Oryctolagus cuniculus: one gene and its partner. Each later gene encodes a partner of the first gene's protein in a complex. Links are inferred from orthologs where the notes say so. Each region holds a gene or a part of one and is shown on either strand. Other genes may lie near its edges.

Region 1 (8,754 bases):
GGAAGCTGGATCAGAAGCAGTCGCTGTGACGTGACCGGTGCTGGGGTGGCAAGCAGCGGCGTGGCTTGCCCGCACGTTTGCCCTGAGGTGTTAGGGTGGCTTTGTCAGGACGTAGGCCCTTCAGCTCGCCGTCTCAGAGCCTCTGACCTGGGCCATCCGGGAAGCTGCGCTCCCCCACGCCCCGGGCATTCCGCCTCTTTCTCGCCCACTTCCTGGCTCCGACGGCTGCCCCCGCCCCCCAGTGTAGAGGAAGCGCACCCCCGGGTCCCCGTCGCACAGCAAGCTGTGGGAAGCACACCGTGAGTGTTCCCATCCTTGAAACTGTCTCCTGTCACCTGAGTGTGACTGACAGCTGACAGGATTGATGGCTCGGTGTGGAATTCCAGACCCGTAAGCTTGGAATCTGACGGCGTCGCTGCACCCCTCCTTCTGACTTCTGGGTGCTCTGCCATCCTTGATCCCTGGGGTCAGGGGTCAGGGGTCACCAGGTTTTCTTATAGCACCAGGTGGAGGCGGGCGGTGTGGCACACAGGTTAGGCGTCTCGGGGTCCCTACGTGTCACCCTGAGTCCCAGATCTAGTTCTGCCAAGGCTCCCAGTCCGGCTTCCTGTGAGTGCAGACCCTGGAGGCAGCAGTGGCGGCTCAGGTACCTGGGTCCCGGCCACCCACGTGGGAGGCCCGCATGCAGTTCTGGGCTCCTGGCTGCTTTGAGCCTTTGTGGAATGAACCAGTAGATGAAGCCCTCTCTACCCCTCCCTCCATCTCTCCAATACAAGGAAAATGAATAAAATTGACGACTTAGCCTATCCTGGCCTCCCTTGGAGCCTTTGGGCAGTTGGTGCCAGGACCCCACCACAGACCCCCAAAGCCATGGACACCCGAGTCCCTTCCGTAAAGGGCTTAGTGTTTCCCAGGAGCTGCACACCTTTCCCTGTGGACGCTGGCATCTCTAGGCGACTTACAGGCCCTAATGCGAATGCTGCTGTACCGTCAGATTGATTTCTTTATTTGAAAGGCAGAGTGACACACAGAGAGGTCTTCCAGCTTTGCCAAATGGCCGAAACAGCCAGAGCTGGGCCAGGCTGCAGCCAGGAGCCAGAGCTCCATCCGGGGCTCCCACGCAGGTGCAGAGCGCTTGGGCCACCTTCCACTGCTTTCCCAGGCCACAGCAGGGGGCTGATCGGAAGTGGACTCAAGTGTCGCCAGCGGCCGCCTGACCTGCTGGGGCCACAGCGATGGCCCCAGTTCTTTTTAATCATTAGAGATTTTTTTCCCTGTAACTAGTCTGGAAATAATCGCAGGTTTTCGAGAGCGGTAGCGGTAGACCACGACCGGGTTGCTGCGGTTCCCGGGGCACCAGCACCCTGCGGTCGACTGGCGCTGAGCACCCGCCGCTCAGCGTGGGGGAACTGCAGGGTGGGTGTTCCCGGCCCGGGGCCCAGCCCACCCGAGGCAGGCACCCCAGGAGCCGTCGCCTCCTGCTCCCCCAGGCGCGGCTGGAGCGGGACTTGAGCAACAAGAAGATCTACCAGGAGGAGGAGCTGCCGGAGTCGGGCGCGGGCAGCGAGTTCAAGCGCAAGCTGCGGGAGGAGGCGCGCCGGAAGAAGTACGGCATCGTGCTCAAGGAGTTCCGGCCCGAGGACCAGCCCTGGCTGCTGCGGGTCAACGGGAAGGCCGGCCGCAAGTGCGTGCGGGAGGGCGCGGGAGGGCGCGGGGCGGGCGGTGGGGCGCGGCGCTGCCCACGCGGGGCGCGCGGGAGGACACGGGGCCGCTTGTGCGTGCGGGAGGGCGCGGGGCGGGCGGTGGGGTGCCGCGTTGTCCACGCGGGGCGCGCGGGAGGACACAGGGAAGCTGGAGCGCAGCGCTGCCCACACGGAGGGGGGGGCGCGGGAGGTCATGGGGCCGCAAAGGGACAAGAAAACGGGTGTTCTTTAGGTGGAGCCAGGGGTCTGGCACCCGCTAATCAGTGACACCTGCAGATGCAGGGACCTGCCCTTCTGCCCTCCCACCCAGCCCTGTGCACTTAGTGGGTGCCCTCCCTGACCCTGCTTCCCACTGCTACCGTGTGGTCTCAGGGCACCTGTGTGACCGGCCCTGGAGGGGCAGAGGGGCAGGCTGAGGAAGGGGGAGCTGGTCGCTCAGGGAGGGGCTGTCAGGGTGTGCCGGGGCGGGCGGTGGGGTGCCGAGTTGTCCACGCGGGGCGTGCAGGAAGACATGGCGCCGCAAGTACGTGCGGGAGGGCGCCAGGTGGGCGGTGGGGCGTGACGCTGCCCACGCGGGGCGCGCGGGAGGACACGGGGGCGCTGGGGCATGGTACTGCCAGTGCGGGGTGTGCGGGAGAATGGAGGACACGGGGGCTCTGCCCGCGCGGGATTGTTCTCGGCACTGCACCGGAAGCCCTGAGCCCCCACGGCCTAGCAGAGCTGCACGGGAAGGGAGATGGCCGGGAGGCAGGTGCACAGGCCTTGGGGGGGCACCCCTGTTCTGACACCCACTTACCAGCCAGCCTCCAGCCAGCACTCCTGGATCCCCTGGGGGTCGGGGGGCTCACTGAGGCGGCCGCCTCCCCTCTACCCTGTCTTTTAAAGGTCCCCCACCTCCCACACGTGATCTTAGGGGACACATTTAACCCACATCCGGCGCAGCAGTGGGGAGTGGGGGTGCCAGCCTGGGGACCTGCCCTTCTCCCCTCCCACCCAGCCCTGTGCACTTAGTGGGTGCCCTCCCTGACCCTGCTTCCCACTGCTACCGTGTGGTCTCAGGGCACCTGTGTGACCGGCCCTGGAGGGGCAGAGGGGCAGGCTGAGGAAGGGGGAACTGGTCGCTCAGGGAGGGGCTGTCAGGGTGTGCCGGGACCTGGGCCCACAGGGCCCTGGGTGGCCGGAGCACACTCAGAGGCGTCCGGGCATGGGGGCGGGACTGGGAGGGTGGGGGCCAGCAGGCACCCCAGAGGAGATGGGGGATGCCGGTGGGGCCGGGTCTGGTGTCCTGGGCCGGGCAGTGACCGAGGCTCCCCGCAGGTTCAAGGGCATCAAGAAGGGTGGCGTGACGGAGAACACGTCCTACTACATCTTCACCCAGTGCCCCGACGGGGCCTTCGAGGCCTTCCCTGTGCACAACTGGTACAACTTCACGCCGCTGGCCCGGCACCGCACGCTCACGGCCGAGGAGGCCGAGGAGGAGTGGGAGAGGTGAGCGGGCCTGGCGGGCCTGGGCGGGCCAGGGTGCACAGCCACACGCATGACCCCGGCTGCAGGCCAGGCCCCGGGCTGGGAGCTGGGATGGGAGGGGGGGGATTGGGGGAGGGCTGACATCAGTCCACCCTCACACGGCTCGTAGTCCAGTGTGGGGCAGCACGGACAGAGCTGATACGCGCAGGGCCGGGGGTGGCCGGGCAGGGTGCTCCAACAGCACGTGCCCCACCCACCCCACCCCGTCTTCCCCAGGCCTGCAGGACCAGCCTGGGGGCTCCCCTCCAGCAGCTTCTGGGAGGGGCCTCTGAGGCCCTGGGGACGGTGGGCATAGTTAGGGGCACGTGGGCTGAGGGACATGGCATCAGGCCAGAGCCCAGAGCACTTTAAATGCCCATCTGAGGATGTGACTTTTTTTTGTAAGATTTACTTATTTGAAAGGGAGAATTAGAGAGGGAAAGACAGAGAGAGATCTTCCATCCTTTGGTTCTCTCCTCAAATGGCCCCAGTGGCTGGGGCTGGGCCAGGCCAAAGCCAGGAGCCAAGAACACCATCTCTGCCACCTGGGTGGCAGAGACCCAAGTCCTTGGGTCCTCTGCTGCCTTCCCAGGAGCATTTGCGGGCAGCTGGATCAGAGGTGGAGCAGCCGGGACTGGAACTGGAGCGTGTGTGTGGCCACAGGGCTGGGCCCCGCCTCCCTGGGGCCTCTGCGGTGACACAGGCCACAGATGCATCTGCAGGTGTCCCCGGCGCCCCCTACTCCATTTCCTGTCCCTGGATCTGACTGCCCCAGGGACCTCCCAGGAGTGCAGTCGGGGAGGTTTGACCTCGTGTCTCCCACTGCGCCCGTTTCAAGGTCCACCCACATGGTAGTGAGTGTCACGGCTTCTCTCTCACCCTGAACGAGTGCCCAAAGACGCAGGGCGGGGAAAGCACCCGCAGCCCCTGTGGGAGCGCCTGGCTCTGAGCCCTGGCCCTGGCTCCCGATGCCGGCTTCCGGCCAATGCACGCCCTGGGGAGCAGCGGCGAGGGCTTAGCAGGCTGGGAGCCACGTGGGAGACCTGCATTGAGTCCTGGGCTGCTGGCTTTGGCCGGGCTTCTTGCAGGCACCTGGGGAGTGACCCAGCGGGTGGCAGCTGTCTCGGCCTCTGAAATAAAGGGAAAGCTTTTTGTTAAAGGCTCCCGTTCATGATATACAAAGACAGACTGGGGGGGGGGGGGGGGCGCTGTGAGTGGACGCTGGGCTGGAGAGGGCTTCAGGGGTAAGGCAGCTCTCCCAGGCGGGGTCAGGGCGCCCCGAGTCCCTGGGGGCGCCCTCGTCACCCAGCAGCCCCTCTGCCCGCAGGAGGAACAAGGTGCTGAACCACTTCAGCATCATGCAGCAGCGGCGGCTCAAGGACCAGGACCAGGACGAGGGCGAGGGCGAGAAGGAGAAAGGCGGCCACAAGAAGGCCAGCGAGCTGCGCATCCACGACCTGGAGGACGACCTGGAGATGTCGTCGGACGACAGCGAGGCCAGCGGCGAGGAGGGTGCGGCTGGGGCGAGGGCTGAGTGGGTGCGGGCGCCCCCAGGAGAGCTTAGCGGTAGCTGGCTGTTGGCCCAGCCAGGGGCAGAACGCGTCCTCCTCCCAGGCTGGACCAGGCTGCAGCCAGGAACCTACCCAGTCACTTAGCAGGCAGTGAGGGCAGGGGCCGGAGCCCGGACTTGAGGCCAGGCAAGCGGACGTGAGATGCGGGCACTCTGGGCCCCGTGGCCGCCCCGGGGTTGGCCAGTTTGAATGAGCCTGGTGGACACCGGGCTCTGGGGGCCGTCCTACTCGTCAGCACGTGGGCCTGGTGCGTGTGCGGGTGTGTGCATCACAGGAAGGGGGCTTGGGTTGTGGGCCCGGCCTGGGCGGTCGCCAGGAGGCGGTGCGCTCCTAGCAGGCCCTCGTCGTCTGGAGGGTGGGTGCAGTGGCCCCCGTCAGCGCATCGTCAACCAGGAAGCCCAGGACGGCCCGTGGCCTGAGCCCTTCCTCCCCCGCCCCCGCCCCCGCAGGCAGCAGAGCCCCCAAGGCCAAGAAGAAGGGGCCGCTGACCAAGGCGGGCAGGAAGAAGAAGAAGAAGAAGGGCTCCGATGACGAGGCCTTCGAGGACAGCGACGACGGGGACTTCGAGGGCCAGGAGGTGGACTACATGTCCGACGGCTCCAGGTGAGCAGGGGAGGCCGGTGACCCCCGCAAGCCCCCACGCCGCTCGCAGACCCGCCCACTCACCCCTGCCGCCGTGTCTTGCAGCAGCTCCCAGGACGAGGCTGAGGGCAAGCCCAAAGTGCCGCAGCCGGAGGAGGGGCCCAAGGGTAGGCGGCGCCCGGGGTGGGGGCGGGAGGGGGGGCGCGCTGGGCGGCCCCCTGCTCACAGCCACCCCTCCCCCAGGGGTCGACGAGCAGAGCGAGAGCAGTGAGGAGAGTGAGGAGGAGAAGCCGCCCGAGGAGGACAGGGAGGAGGAGGAAGAGAAGAAAGCCCCCACCCCACAGGAGAAGAAGCGCCGGAAAGGTGGGGCCCTCCCAGGCCTCCCCCGTGCGCGGTGGGCGGGCGGGCGGCGCGAGCAGGGGTCTCGGGTGCACGAAAGGTGGGGCCCCTCGCAGGCCGCCCCCGTGGGCTGTGGGGCGGGCGCCCGCAGGGGTCTCGCGTGTAGGACAGGTGGGGGCCATCCCAGGCCTCCCCCGTGCGCGGTGGGCGGGCGCGCAGGGGTCCCGCGCCGCTCTGGGCCTGACTCCCGACCACCGGCCCTGCAGACAGCAGCGACGAGTCGGACAGCTCCGAGGACAGCGACATCGACAGCGAGGCCTCCTCTGCCCTCTTCATGGCTGTAAGACGCAGGCGTGGCGGGGGCCGGGGTGGGCCGGGGCTGGGGCGTCTGTGAGCGTTCTCACACCCTGCCCCCGCCCCCGCAGAAGAAGAAGACCCCCCCCAAGAGGGAGCGGAAGCCGTCGGGAGGCAGCTCACGCGGCAACAGCCGCCCCGGCACGCCCAGCACGGAGGGCGGCGGCGCCTCGTCCACGCTGCGGGCGGCGGCCAGCAAGCTGGAGCAAGGTGGGTACCGGGCCGCTCTGCCCGGCCCTGGGTCAGAACCTGCCCTCTCTGGGCCCGGGCCCCACCCGCCCGAGGCTCAGCCCCGACCCCATCCCATCCCACAGGGAAGCGGCCGAGTGAGACGCCGGCGGCCAAGCGCTTGCGGCTCGACGCGGGGCCCCAGAACCTGTCTGGAAAGTCGACCCCCCAGCCGTCCTCGGGGAAGTCCACGCCCAGCGGCGGGTACGTGGGCGAGCGGGGCGGGGGCGGGCAGGGGCGGGGGGCGGTGCGGGGCCGCGGGGACCCGCTCACAGGCGCCCGCCCGCCGCCCCGCAGGGACGTGCAGGTGACGGAGGACGCCGTGCGCCGCTACCTGACGCGGAAGCCCATGACCACCAAGGACCTGCTGAAGAAGTTCCAGACCAAGAAGACGGGGCTGAGCAGCGAGCAGACGGTGAACGTGCTGGCCCAGATCCTGAAGCGGCTCAACCCCGAGCGCAAGCTCATCAGCGACAAGATGCACTTCTCCCTCAAGGAGTGAGGCCGCAATAAACGCGCGCTGGCCTGGCGTGTCGTGTCGTGTCGTGTCGTGTCGTCCCGCTGTGCCGGGGACAGCCTCCGTGCTGGGAGCCAGCCCATCTCCACCCGCGCACCACCCCCATGACCCCTGAGCGCGTCCTTAGTGGAGCGAGTGGTGCTGACTCGGCGCTCTGTCGGCTGCTGTCTGTGCGGTCCGTCTCCCATGCTGCCCCGCGGGCGGGTGTGGGCACCTGCGCAATCTGAATGAAGTTCACAGGCGGGCAGACGGCCTTCGGGACTGTTGATTTATAATGAGATTTGTTTATTTGAAAGGCAGAGTTAGAGCTGCCGTCCGCTCGTTCGTCCCCCAAATGGCTGCAATGGCCGGGAGCCAGGAACGCCACCCGGGTCTCCCACATGGGTGGGGACCCCACGTCCTCAGACCATCTGCTGCCTCCCCAGGCAGAGCGGTTGGGATGCCGGCGCCCTGGCCACGCGGCCCCTGTGACGGGGCCTGGACAGGGCGCCAGGGTCGTCGGGGATGGCCTTGGCTCCCCGCAGCTGCCCAGGGAGCGCCGTCGCCGGACCCCTACCCCCTCTCGCTGCTGGCCTGGGCTTTTGAGCGCTTCTTTCTACCCAGGGAGCTCTCCGGGGTCCCGATTTTCTGCCCCTGTGGTGGTTTTCTCAGGCAGGCATCACCACGGGCTCTGGCCAGGGGGATGGGACGGTCAGAGCGCTGGGCTGATACCATGGCCGGAAACGGGATTTGGCTGCAGCCGCTGCTGCTGAGCCTGGTTCCCGGTGACCCGGCCCGGGTGGGGAACGCAGGTGGAAAAGTCCCTGCCCAGCGAATGCCGGAGATGCCAGGCTAATTCCCAGGAATGTCCCCGTCCCGCCAGGCCTCTGTGCGCTGCCAGGAAGCGGCTCTCGCTGGCCCTGCCACGTGGACCGCGGTGTGACCCCGTGGCTAGGAGCGGGAGCCTGGGTCCCAGCCCCAGGCCTGTTTCCCTTGTGTGCGCCTGTCTCATTGGGGTACAGGACACGAGCCACCGTGGGGTGCGCCCTACGCCGGTCTCTGGTCCTGACTGGCACCTGACATGGCATTTCTTTTATTTGAACGTCGCTGAGGTTCTGTACTAAGATCCGCTGCGTCGTGGCGCGTGCCCCGGGATGGAGGTGGCCGCCGGCTCCCCGGTCATACAGCACAGCCAGCACCCCGGGAATCTCTTCTGGAGGTTGGCTTGGGTGGGGGTAGAGGGATGCGATTCCCAATCTACTGTTTACCGGTTTGAAAGGCACACACAAATGCCTCCAACAACCAGGGTTGGCCCAGGACGGAATCAGGGGCTCCATCCGGGGCTCCCACGTTGGGGGCGGGGCCCAGGCACTTGAGCCCTCACTGCTGCCTCCCAGGGTGCGCATGCGCAGGGAGCTGGCATTGGGAGGGGCGCCCAGACTCAAATCCAGCACTCTAGGTGGATGTGGCTGTCCCCAGCCATGTCTTAACCGCTAGCCCTGCACCTGCTCCTACCTCACCTGCCCTTTTTGGGTGGGCTGTAGCCCCTCTTCTGGTGGGTAGCAAACAAGCCACCTGCATTCCTTTGTGTCAAAAGCACCCAGCAGCCCCTCGGGGCTGGGTCTGCATGAGCACCGGTGGCCACGCAGGCCCGGGCGTGGAAGCCGCCAGAGTCCACGTTGCTGCTGCCTGTCGTGCTAGGTTCCTCCGGAAGCTCCCCTCGGGCCCTGAAGCTCCTGGACCCCAGGACCGGGCTGTGGTCAGGACGTGGGGCTCAGCTTGCCTTCCAGACAGGAGTCCTGGCCCCCACGACCCAGGGCCTCTCCCTTTTCCTGTTTTGACAGCGGCTTTGCCAGGCCCGGAGACAGGGCGCTGATGCCTTAATCCCCGAGGGGGTGGCAGCCATGATGGATGGGTACCCCACTGGCCCACCCACCCCAGCTGCCCTGCCTGGCGCATGTACTGGGGGCACCAC
Region 2 (9,582 bases), on another chromosome or scaffold:
CCCTCTGCCGGTCCCCTTTCACAGTGGGCCCAGCTCCGACCCCCGGAGCTGCTCCCTCCTCACTGCCCCCACTCAGCCTCCCTGGATCGGCTTCTAAAACCTAACAGATAATTTTCCTCCCTTGCATAGAACCCCAGCGGCTTCCCACACGTGTGAAACCCAGAGGCAGTGCCCTGGCCGGCTGCCTCTCGGCCTCGTCTCCGGCCTCCCTCCTCCCATGGGCCGAGCCTGCTGCAGAGACCCCTCTGCTGTCTCGCCGCACGGTGGCCGTGCCACCCCAGGCCTTTTGCACTTGACAGAGACGCATTGCTCAGCCCTCCCCGGCTTCTGTGCCCCTCAGCTGTTTGCTCATTTCCTGCCTGTCGCTTGACCACGCTGAGCTGGTGCCCACTTCTGGAACGCCAGGGCTGCTCACAGGTCCTGGCGTGCGTGGCCCAGGCCCTCAGCAGATGCCGGACAAGCGAAAGGCAGATGTGAGGCTGGACAGGGTCTCGCGGAGGGTGCCGCAGGGGAGGGGGGCAGCATGGAGGGAGGGTGGCCACTCGGTGTCCCGGAAGCTGCAGGGCCTGGTCCCCTGGGGCCAGGAGGGCAGCACAGAGGGGCACAGCCCTCCCAGAGCAGATGAGGGAGACAGCGAGGGCTGAGCCAGGAGAAACCCTGGACAAGGAGCCCGGAGCCCCGCTGGGCACGGCCGTGCATCCTTGCTGTGTGAACCCCATTAGGAACGGTGCTTGAAATACCACTGGCTCCTATCGCTGTGGGTTTGAGCCCATTAGCAAGGGGCCTTCTGGTCGACCCCCGCCCCCCAGGGCTACCCGCGGCCTCTCTGGGTCACCTGCAGCCCTGGCGGAGTGCGGGGGGCGGGGGTTGCGGCTGCTGGCCCTCACTCTGTCCTGTCCCACAGGGAGAAGTGTCGGGAGCTGACTGGCCCTGGGGAAGGTAGGTCCCTCGGCCCAAGCCCCGCACCCCTTGTGGACGGGGGTCCTCAGACCTAGAGGCCATGCCCGCCCTCATGGCCCCTCCGCTTGCAGCCCCTGAGGGCTCCCTGGCCCGGCTGCTGCGGATCCTGCAGGACCTGCGCGAGGCCCACGGCGCCCTCCCAGCCAGCACCCCGCCCGCCGAGCCCAGCCGCCTGCTGGCAGTGCAGACCTGTGGCCTGCCCCACCGTCCTGCCCGGTGCCGTGTTCTCGGGCCCTCCGCCTGGTCCCTGGCGTGCAGGAGCCAGAGATGAGAAGCCCTGGAAGTTGGGAGCCGGCGGGGCTTTGCACAGCATGGCCGACCTCACGGCTCCGGGGGTCTGGGTCTTTGCCGCCCCGGGCCAGGCTCTCCAGGGACACCCCTCCCCCTGCCTTGCCAAGGGCAAGTCCAGCCCAAAGCCACCGTTGGAGGGTCCCCACCCCACCCCTGCCCAGGTGGGCTGCTCTCCCAGACCCCGGAGACCAGGCCTCCACCTGAGTGCCCCCTGGTTCCCAGCCCCCAGCCCCACGCTCCCCTCACTGCCTGGCCCTGTGCTGAGGGTCGCAGTGTTCTGTTGCCGACAATAAACCTGCCGTGACAGACGAGGCTCTGGGCTCTTGGGATGGGGGTCCAGGGAGAGGACCCCGAGGTTGCTGGCCCAAGGACGGTGCCACCCCCTCACTTGGGATCGGGGTTCCTTTCTCTACCTGGCTGCTGTCCCCACTGCATTCCTGGGCCCCACCCCTACCCCTCACAGGCCACAGAGGCCCGTGGGCCTTCCAGCTGCTGTCTGCACCCAAGCCCCCGGCCCCAAGATGCAGGAGCACCCCTCCCCACCACCATGCACACGCAGGCGGCACCTGCCCGGGCTGATGCCCAGCGTGCTGGCTGGGCCATGTCTGCTCCCGCTGCCAGGGTGGGCACCAGCTGTGTCCACAGTGACTCAGCTCAAGGCACCACCCCCAGGGCCTTCAGCACCCCCCCCCCCGACCGGCCCCAGCCCATCCCTGAGCCCTGGGGTTTGTCTAGTGCCCTCATCACCAGGGGTCCCCACGCTGGTCCCACTGTCAGCCAGAGTGGAGTCCAGTCCATGGCCCACATCCTGGGAGCTGGCCTGCCTGCCCTTGGTCGGTTCCTCTGGGGCTTTGCCAGCGCCTCCTCCCCCACCAGGCCCTGCCCCCTGCCCACCTGGAGCCCCCACGGCCTCCTGGGGCAGGATGACGTCACTGGGTCACACAGCAGGTGTCCCTCACCCCATGGTGCCCAGGCTACACCCTGCGCCCACCCCGCGATGACCAGCAGAGGGCCACTGCCTGCTGTACAGTCAGCCCGAGTGCAGGGTGGGTGGGGGCTTTGCGCCTCCCGGCGGGGCTCAGCCAGCCGGCTCCCTCACCCCAACACCCCCTTTCCCTGCCCCACCCCGCCCCCTGTGCTCACAGCCTTCAGCCTCCCTCCCAGAGCAGCACGGAGAACACAGTGCATCCATCCATCCATCCATTCCTCACCTGTTAGCCCATGTGCATCTCTCTTTTTTAAATAAAGATTTATTTATTTGAAAGTTGGAGTTAGAAGGAGAGACGGAGCGCATTTGCTGGTTCACGCCCCAGATGGCCGCAACAGGACGAAGCCAGGACCCAGGAGCCTCATCCGGGTCTCCCACATGGGTGCAGGGGCCCCAGCACTTGGGCCATCTACTACTGCTTTCCCAGGTGCATTAGCAGGGAGCTGGATTGGAAGTGGAGCAGCCGGGACACGAGCCGGCGACCATACGGGATGCCGGGGCCCAGGCCACTGTGTAGTTGTGCCCCTCGCCCAGCTATTCCAGGCTGTGGTCACACCATCCCCTCGTGGGGCACCCCACATGGACCTGCAGAAGAGTCTGGGGGTGTGCCGCTCCGGCGAGTGGGGTCAGCACTCCCCCAGGAGAGCAGCCGTCCATGGTGGTGGCCAGGATGGTGGGGGGGAATCCCCTGCTCTGGACCCTGGCCAGGCGTCACCTCCAGGTCTCCGTAGGGCAGCGTCCTAAAGTCTTCAGGATGAGCCGAGAGGGCGTGGCTCATTACCCACGGGCCCCGGGCAGAGCGGCAGTTCCCAGGTACTAAGTCCCCCCCTCCGCCCCCGCGCAGGGAGATGCGATTCCCGTGGGGGCTCCAGGCTGCAACCAGGGTCCCTGTGGTTGCTCTGAGCCCCCAGTCCCTGTTGGCCGAACAGCTCCGGGAGGGCCTTCGGCACCAATCAGGAGCTCAAGGCGGGGTGGTGCACCTGTATCCCTCCACCCCCCTGTCACACCTGTCGCACTTGCTCCTCCCAGCGCTCACCCAGCTGCCCCCGCCAACAAGACGCCGGTGACCAGGGCCTCGTGGCTGTTGGCCAGGTGCCTTGGAGGGGCCGTCCACGCCTATCACTCTGACCACAAGACTTTCCTCGACCCCCAGCCACGGCCTCCTACTACCCCATGGCTCTGTATCTGTGCCGGGGCCTGCTGCGGTGCATTCCAAGGCACATTTCCAAAGAAGAGATCAAGAAGCATGGACAGCGGAGACAGGCGTAGCTCCGGCTTCCCGCTTCGCCGGGACCCAGCGGGCAGCGCAACGCTCCGACTGCCTGCACCCCCAGAGCCGCGCCCCCTGGCCCAGGCGTGGAGCGCGGCGGGGGCGTGGCCTCCGGGCTGACGCACGCGCAGAGCGCATCGGGGAAAATTTTTCTCACGCCTGCGCTAGCTCCTCCCCGCCGCTAGGGGGCAGTGAGCCGGTCCTGGCGCGGTAGGCGCCGCCGGCGTGACCCGGAAGCAGTCGCGCGGTCGGGTTTGGAGGCGGTGGCGGCGGCCGTTTAGTCGCCGGCGGGCCGCGGTGCCAGGATGAACGCACCTCCGGCCTTCGAGTCGTTTCTGCTCTTCGAGGGAGAGAAGAAGTAAGTGGAGCCCGGCGGGGCGGCGGAGGGTCGGGCCGAGGCCCGCAGCTCCTGCGTGTCCTGCGGGCTCGGGGGTCGGAAGTGTTCGAGTGTCCGAGCGGCCTGGGTCCGCCCAGGGGGGCAGTGCCCTGGGCACGCCGGCACTTGCGGGGACTTGCAAAGTGTCCTGCTGCAGAGTGCTGTGGTTCCGCGGGGCCCCGGCAGGCGTCCCTGTGGCGTCCGGCCGGCCACCCGCGTCCTCCCTCCACGCGGCGGCCTGCGCGAGGGCTCCGGAGCTCGGGTCCGCCCTGTCGGGGCCCGCGGTCTGGCGGCCACACATCTGGGCCGGGCTCCCGGGTCGCCCGCCTGCCCGCCCTGTGGTCCTCGGACGCGTGGCTTGGCCGGGCGCCCGTGGGAGCGCGCGGACCGTGGCTTTGGGGTTGCGCGTGGGAAGGAGTGTTTGTGGCTTGGCCAAACCGAGGGGCGCAGGCGTTGCGGGTCTCGCTCGTGGGGAAGTCGCTTGGGGAGGGTTTCGCGCGCGTCTAGGAAGCTGTGGCGTGGATTGCGTGCGTTCCGTGGTCAGCCGCGGGTGGAGCTTGAACGAGGAGGAGGGTGTTCGGGGGCTGCGCCGAGGGCGCAGGTGCGCGGTTGGGGCCTGCGGCTTCGTGATGAGAGGTGGTAGCCGCTGAGTGTGCCCTGTTTGTCCCATCAGCTGCCCCTGGCTTGGCTCCGGGAACGCCTGGTCATCCTAAGAGGCGGTGGTGTGGGCTGGGTCTGGCCGAGGCGCACTGTGCGCACCTGGAAAAATGGGCTGCTTGCACGCGCGCTGTGGTTAAGCACAGGGAGAGGTTAAGTGGGTTCTCGCGGGGGCAATGCCTTCCGAGTCTGAGCAGCCTAGGGTGCGGGGGCTGGGGTGCGACCCTTGTCGGCCGCTCGAGCCTCCCTGGGCACAGACTAGCAACCAGGGGAGCAGGCGTGGTGGTCCCGGGCGCCCCGGGCGCCGTGCAGCCCCCAGGGCGGGCCTGTGGCGCGGGGGGAGTGCCTGCTCCCGCCCTGGCTGCTCCACCTCCCAGGAAGCCGCAGGTGATGGCCCAGGGAGACCTGGCTCTCTCGTGGGCTCCTAGCTTCAGCGTCTCCCTAGCCCCAGCTGTGGCGGGCATCTGTGGAGTGAACCAGCGGAGAGAAGACCTGTGTGCGTCCCTCTCTGTGCCTCTCTTTCTTTCTCCTTTTTTTTTTTCTTTAAGTTTATCTGAGAGGCAGAGTTAGGTCTTATCTAGGTGGCCGCAACAGCTGGAGCTGAGCCGATCTGAAGCCAGGAGCCAGGAGCTCCTTCCAGGTCTCCCATGGGGGTGCAGGAGCCCAAGCATTGGGGCCGTCCTCCGCTGCTTTCCCAGGCGCATTAGCAGGGAGTTGGATTGGAAGTGGAGCAGCTGGGACTCGAACTGGCGCCCATGTGGGATGCGGGCACTGCAGGTGGCTTTACCTGTGCCACAGCAACGTGTTTATGAAGCACCCATTACCATCACAGGTGCTCACGCTGTGGCTTCTGGTATGAACGTGTTTTTAGTTTACACAGCGCCTTTTTTTTTTTTTTTTTTGACAGGCAGAGTGGACAGTGAGAGAGACAGAGAGAAAGGTCTTCCTTTGCCGTTGGTTCACCCTCCAATGGCTGCCGCGGCCGGCGCGCTGCGGCCGGCGCACCGCGCTGATCCGATGGCAGGAGCCAGGTGCTTTTCCTGGTCTCACATGGGGTGCAGGGCCCAAGCACTTGGGCCATCCTCCACTGCACTCCCTGGCCACAGCAGAGAGCTGGCCTGGAAGAGGGGCAACCGGGACAGAATCCGGCGCCCCAACCGGGACTAGAACCCGGTGTGCCGGCGCTGCTAGGCGGAGGATTAGCCTAGTGAGCCGCGGCGCCGGCCTACACAGCGCCTTTTGTATTTCCTTTCCCATGGACTTTTTAATTTGAAAGACCGAGAGGGAGGGAGGGAGGGAGAGAGGTCTTCCATCTGCTGGGTCACTCCCCAAATGGCCCCAATGGCCCGGGCTGGGCTGATCTGAAGCCAGGAGCCTCACGGGTGCAGGAGCGCTAGCACTTGGGCCATCTTCCACTGCTTTCCCATGCCCCAGCTGAGAGCTGGATGGAAGTGGAGCAGCCGGGACTTGAACCCACTGCACCACAGCACCAGCTCCCATGGACTCTTCCGCTGCTTTAAAATTTTTATTTTTTTAAAGATTTATTTATTTACTTGAGAGAGGAGAGGCAGAGAGAGATCTTCCATCTGCTGGTTCACTCCCCAGTTGGCTGTAATGGCCAGAATCGCACCAGTCCGAAGCCAGGAGCTTCCTCCGGGTCTCCCATGTGGGTGCAGGGGCCCAAGCACTTGGGCCACCTTCTACTGCTTTCCCAGGCCATAGCAGAGAGCTGGATTGGAAGTGGAGCAGCCGGGACTCGAACCATATGGGATGCTGACACTACAGGTGCTGGCCCCTTAACATTTTTAATTGACACATAATACTTGCACATTTTTAAAAACGTTTATTTGAAAGTCAGGGTCACACAGAGAGGGAGGGAGGGAGAGGGGTCTTCCATCCTATGGTTTATGCCCCAGATGGTTGCAATGGCCAGAGCTGCGCCGATCTGAAGCCAGGAGCCAGGAGCTTCTTCTGGGTCTCCCATACGGGTGCAGGGGCCCAAGGACCGGGCCATCTTCTACTGCTTTCCCAGGCCATAGCAGAGAGCTGGATCGGAAGTGGGGTAGCCGGGTCTCGAACCAGCACCCAAATGGGATGCTGGCGCTTCAGGCCAGAGCGTTAACCCACAGCTCCGGCCCCTACTTGAGCACATATTTAAAAACATTTGAGGGGTAGAATACAGAGAGGGAAAGAGAGCGAGCACTTGGGCCATCTTCCAGGGCTTTCCCAGGCCACAGCAGGGAGCTGGATTAGAAGTGGAGCAGCTGGGACCTGAACTTGGGCCTGTATGGGATGCCGGTGCTGCGGGTGGAGGTTCAGCCTCCTATGCTGCAGCACTGCCCCAACACCAGACCAAAAAAAGGTTTAAAAAAGCAGTTTTAAAAATATTTTCCGGCTGGCGCAGCTCACTAGGCTAATCCTCCGCCTTGCAGCGCCGGCACACCGGGTTCTAGTCCCGGTCGGGGCACCAGATTCTGTCCCGGTTGTCCCTCTTCCAGTCCAGCTCTCTGCTATGGCCCAGGAGTGCAGTGGAGGATGGGCCAAGTGCTTGGGCCCTGCACCCCATGGGAGGCCAGGAGAAGTACCTGGCTCCTGCCATTGGATCAGCGTGGTGCGCTGGCCACAGCGGCCACTGGGGGGTGAACCAACGGCAAAAATTCTCACTGTCCACTCTGTCAAAAACAAACAAAAAAAACACCCTTCTCCTACAAGGAGAGCTTCATCAGGGCTGAAGCACAGGTAGTGCTGGGGTTGAGTATTCTGCTTTGGAAGGCGCCTTGTGGGGTGGGTGGCCAGGGTCGGGGGGGGGGCAGACACGCCGCTGGGAGCCCACCGCAGAGGGGGTGGGAGCCGTGGGTGCCCTGGGGGGCAGGAGGCCCTGCCCCAGCCTCACCTCCGCCTCCTCCCAGGATCACCATCAACAAGGACACCAAGGTCCCCAACGCGTGCCTGTTCACCATCAACAAGGAGGACCACACGCTCGGGAACATCATTAAATCGTAAGTGCCCGGCCAGGGGCCCACGCGCGGGCTGGCCTTGCCCTCAGGGCTACCCGCTCGGGGGCGCTGCCTGTTCCGGTGGCAGCCCAGGCACTGCCCCTCGCGTGGGTTCGAGGCCCTGGCGCTGCCCCGCAGGGCACTTAGCAGCCTCTCGGCCCCGCCCGTGACGCGGCTCATCCCTGGTCGTCAGATGACACTGACCCTTACATGCACCCCACCCCTTGTCTATCCCGGGCCAGCAGGCCCCCCTCCTCCCCTGTGACAGACTCTCACGTCGAGGGGAGGTGGCAGAGGCACGGTGTGGTTGTCCAGGGTCCCCGTGTCCCAGCCAAGTAGGCAGCCAGGGCTGTGACCGCCCCTCCCCTGCAGGTGGCGCCAGCAAGGCGGGCCCGTCCCAGCTTGTGTCAGAGGCTGGGGGCAGGAGTCTGGGCAGTGCCCCCCCTGAGCGAGCCCATGGTGTGTCCTCGCGTGCCCAGGGCCCAGGCCTCTCCCGCCGCCGCTTGGGCCGGTGTCTGTGTTAACGCTGCGGGGCACGCACGGCACCTCCTCTTCCAAGTGTCTTCCCGGTAGGGGAACACCCTGGGCCACACAGCTGGCACAGGCGCCGCCTGGGAGCCCTCAGCGCGCCCTCTCTCCCGCCCCAGGCAGCTGCTCAAGGACCCGCAGGTGCTGTTTGCTGGCTATAAAGTCCCCCACCCCCTGGAGCACAAGATCATCATCCGCGTGCAGACCACCCCCGACTACAGCCCGCAGGAGGCCTTCACCAACGCCATCACCGACCTCATCAGCGAGCTCTCGCTGCTGGAGGAGCGCTTCCGGGTGAGGCGGGGCCCCAGCAGTCCCTGGGACGTGTGCCCTACCAGGCCGGGGGCGGCCTGCTGCCCCTCAGGGCTGCTTCCAGGCATCTGTCTGGGTCACACCAGCCCACGGCAGGGCCCGAGTCTAGGACAGCATAGACTGGGAGCAGCAGCAGGTGTGGGGACGGCTCTCCTGTGGGGCGCCAGGCGGGGGCCGCCCAATACCTGCCCTCTTCCTCCCCACAGGTGGCCATCAAGGACAAGCAGGAGGGCATCGAGTAGCGGCTGGAGGAGCTGCCCGGGCCCCTGGGACCGCGTGGACTGTGGGGACGGCCTGTCACTCTTCTAGAGGCTTGGGGTCGCATCCCAGGAGCAGGGTGGGGCCCGCATGGCTACCGAGCTGTCTACAATGGAGGAATTTAATAATAAAAATACTCGTAAAAAGCCCCCAGGCGCAGTGACTTAGGCGGTGTCCGTGGTGCCGGGGTGCGGCCGGCTCCTCCAGATGGCCACGATGTTGGAGTCCGTCAGCGCCGTGAGGTAGCTGAAGGTGGGGTCGGCCACCACCGTGTTCACCATGGTCTTGCTCACGGCCTGGCCCAAGGCCCAGGGCTGCGGCCATCTGAGGACCTGGTGGGGGAGACCCGGCTGAGCAGGGCGCCCGCGTGGAGCCCACCCCGCCCGGCAGGGGAGCCCGCGCACCTGCGTGGGGGCCTGCGTGGGTGCCGGCTGCGCAGGCGGCTGGCGCAGGAGCTGCCTCACGTCGTATAGCCACACGTTGCCCTCCTCGTCCCCACACAGCACCGTCGCCTCGTCTGCAGGCACAGGCAGGCTCAGGTGGGGCAGCGGGGGTGGGGGGTGCTCCCGGGGGCAAGTGCTCACCTGGGCAGGTGCTGAGGGAGAAGTAGGCCAGGTTGGTGGACGACCACTGCAGCCAGGCCAGGACGACCACGGCCACCGAGGACCGGCTGCCCCTGCCGCCCCACGTCTGGCTCCAGCTCCACAAGCAGATGGTGCCTGGGCTGTTCCCCTTGGAGGCTGCGGGAGAACAGGGGGTGCCAGGCTGAGCCCGAGACCCTAGCCCCCGAGGGAAGCCATCGGCCCAGGCTGGCCGCACTCACCCACGACGTCCTCGTTCACAAAGGCCAGCCCGTCCACTCTGCGCCCGGGCGCCTCAGAGAACACGAACTCCACCTCACACGCCCTGTGTGTGTTGGGGGTGGGGAGGCAGGGCTGTGCACCAG

Evidence for each region.
Region 2: GTF2F1 (region 1) and POLR2J share a complex: the UniProt entries of both Homo sapiens proteins name them as parts of the TBP-based Pol II pre-initiation complex. The link is inferred for Oryctolagus cuniculus from reciprocal best matches to the Homo sapiens genes GTF2F1 and POLR2J.

Annotation. Positions count from the first base shown.
Region 1 is NC_091447.1:60,701,697-60,710,450, reverse strand, and holds the end of GTF2F1 (general transcription factor IIF subunit 1), read left to right. Parts: intron 1-1,490; coding exon 1,491-1,684; intron 1,685-3,020; coding exon 3,021-3,191; intron 3,192-4,536; coding exon 4,537-4,721; intron 4,722-5,229; coding exon 5,230-5,383; intron 5,384-5,467; coding exon 5,468-5,529; intron 5,530-5,605; coding exon 5,606-5,725; intron 5,726-5,967; coding exon 5,968-6,041; intron 6,042-6,126; coding exon 6,127-6,265; intron 6,266-6,369; coding exon 6,370-6,487; intron 6,488-6,580; coding exon 6,581-6,785; 3' UTR 6,786-6,812; downstream 6,813-8,754. UniProt on the Homo sapiens protein: TFIIF is a general transcription initiation factor that binds to RNA polymerase II and helps to recruit it to the initiation complex in collaboration with TFIIB. It promotes transcription elongation.
Region 2 is NC_091450.1:44,081,198-44,090,779, reverse strand, and holds POLR2J (DNA-directed RNA polymerase II subunit RPB11-a), read left to right. Parts: upstream 1-3,711; 5' UTR 3,712-3,814; coding exon 3,815-3,867; intron 3,868-7,451; coding exon 7,452-7,541; intron 7,542-8,185; coding exon 8,186-8,360; intron 8,361-8,584; coding exon 8,585-8,620; 3' UTR 8,621-8,785; downstream 8,786-9,582. Other genes in the region: ras GTPase-activating protein 4, read left to right, coding at 905-939, 1,032-1,231; LRWD1 (leucine-rich repeat and WD repeat-containing protein 1), read right to left, coding at 8,801-8,968, 9,041-9,153, 9,221-9,376, 9,460-9,542. UniProt on the Homo sapiens protein: Core component of RNA polymerase II (Pol II), a DNA-dependent RNA polymerase which synthesizes mRNA precursors and many functional non-coding RNAs using the four ribonucleoside triphosphates as substrates.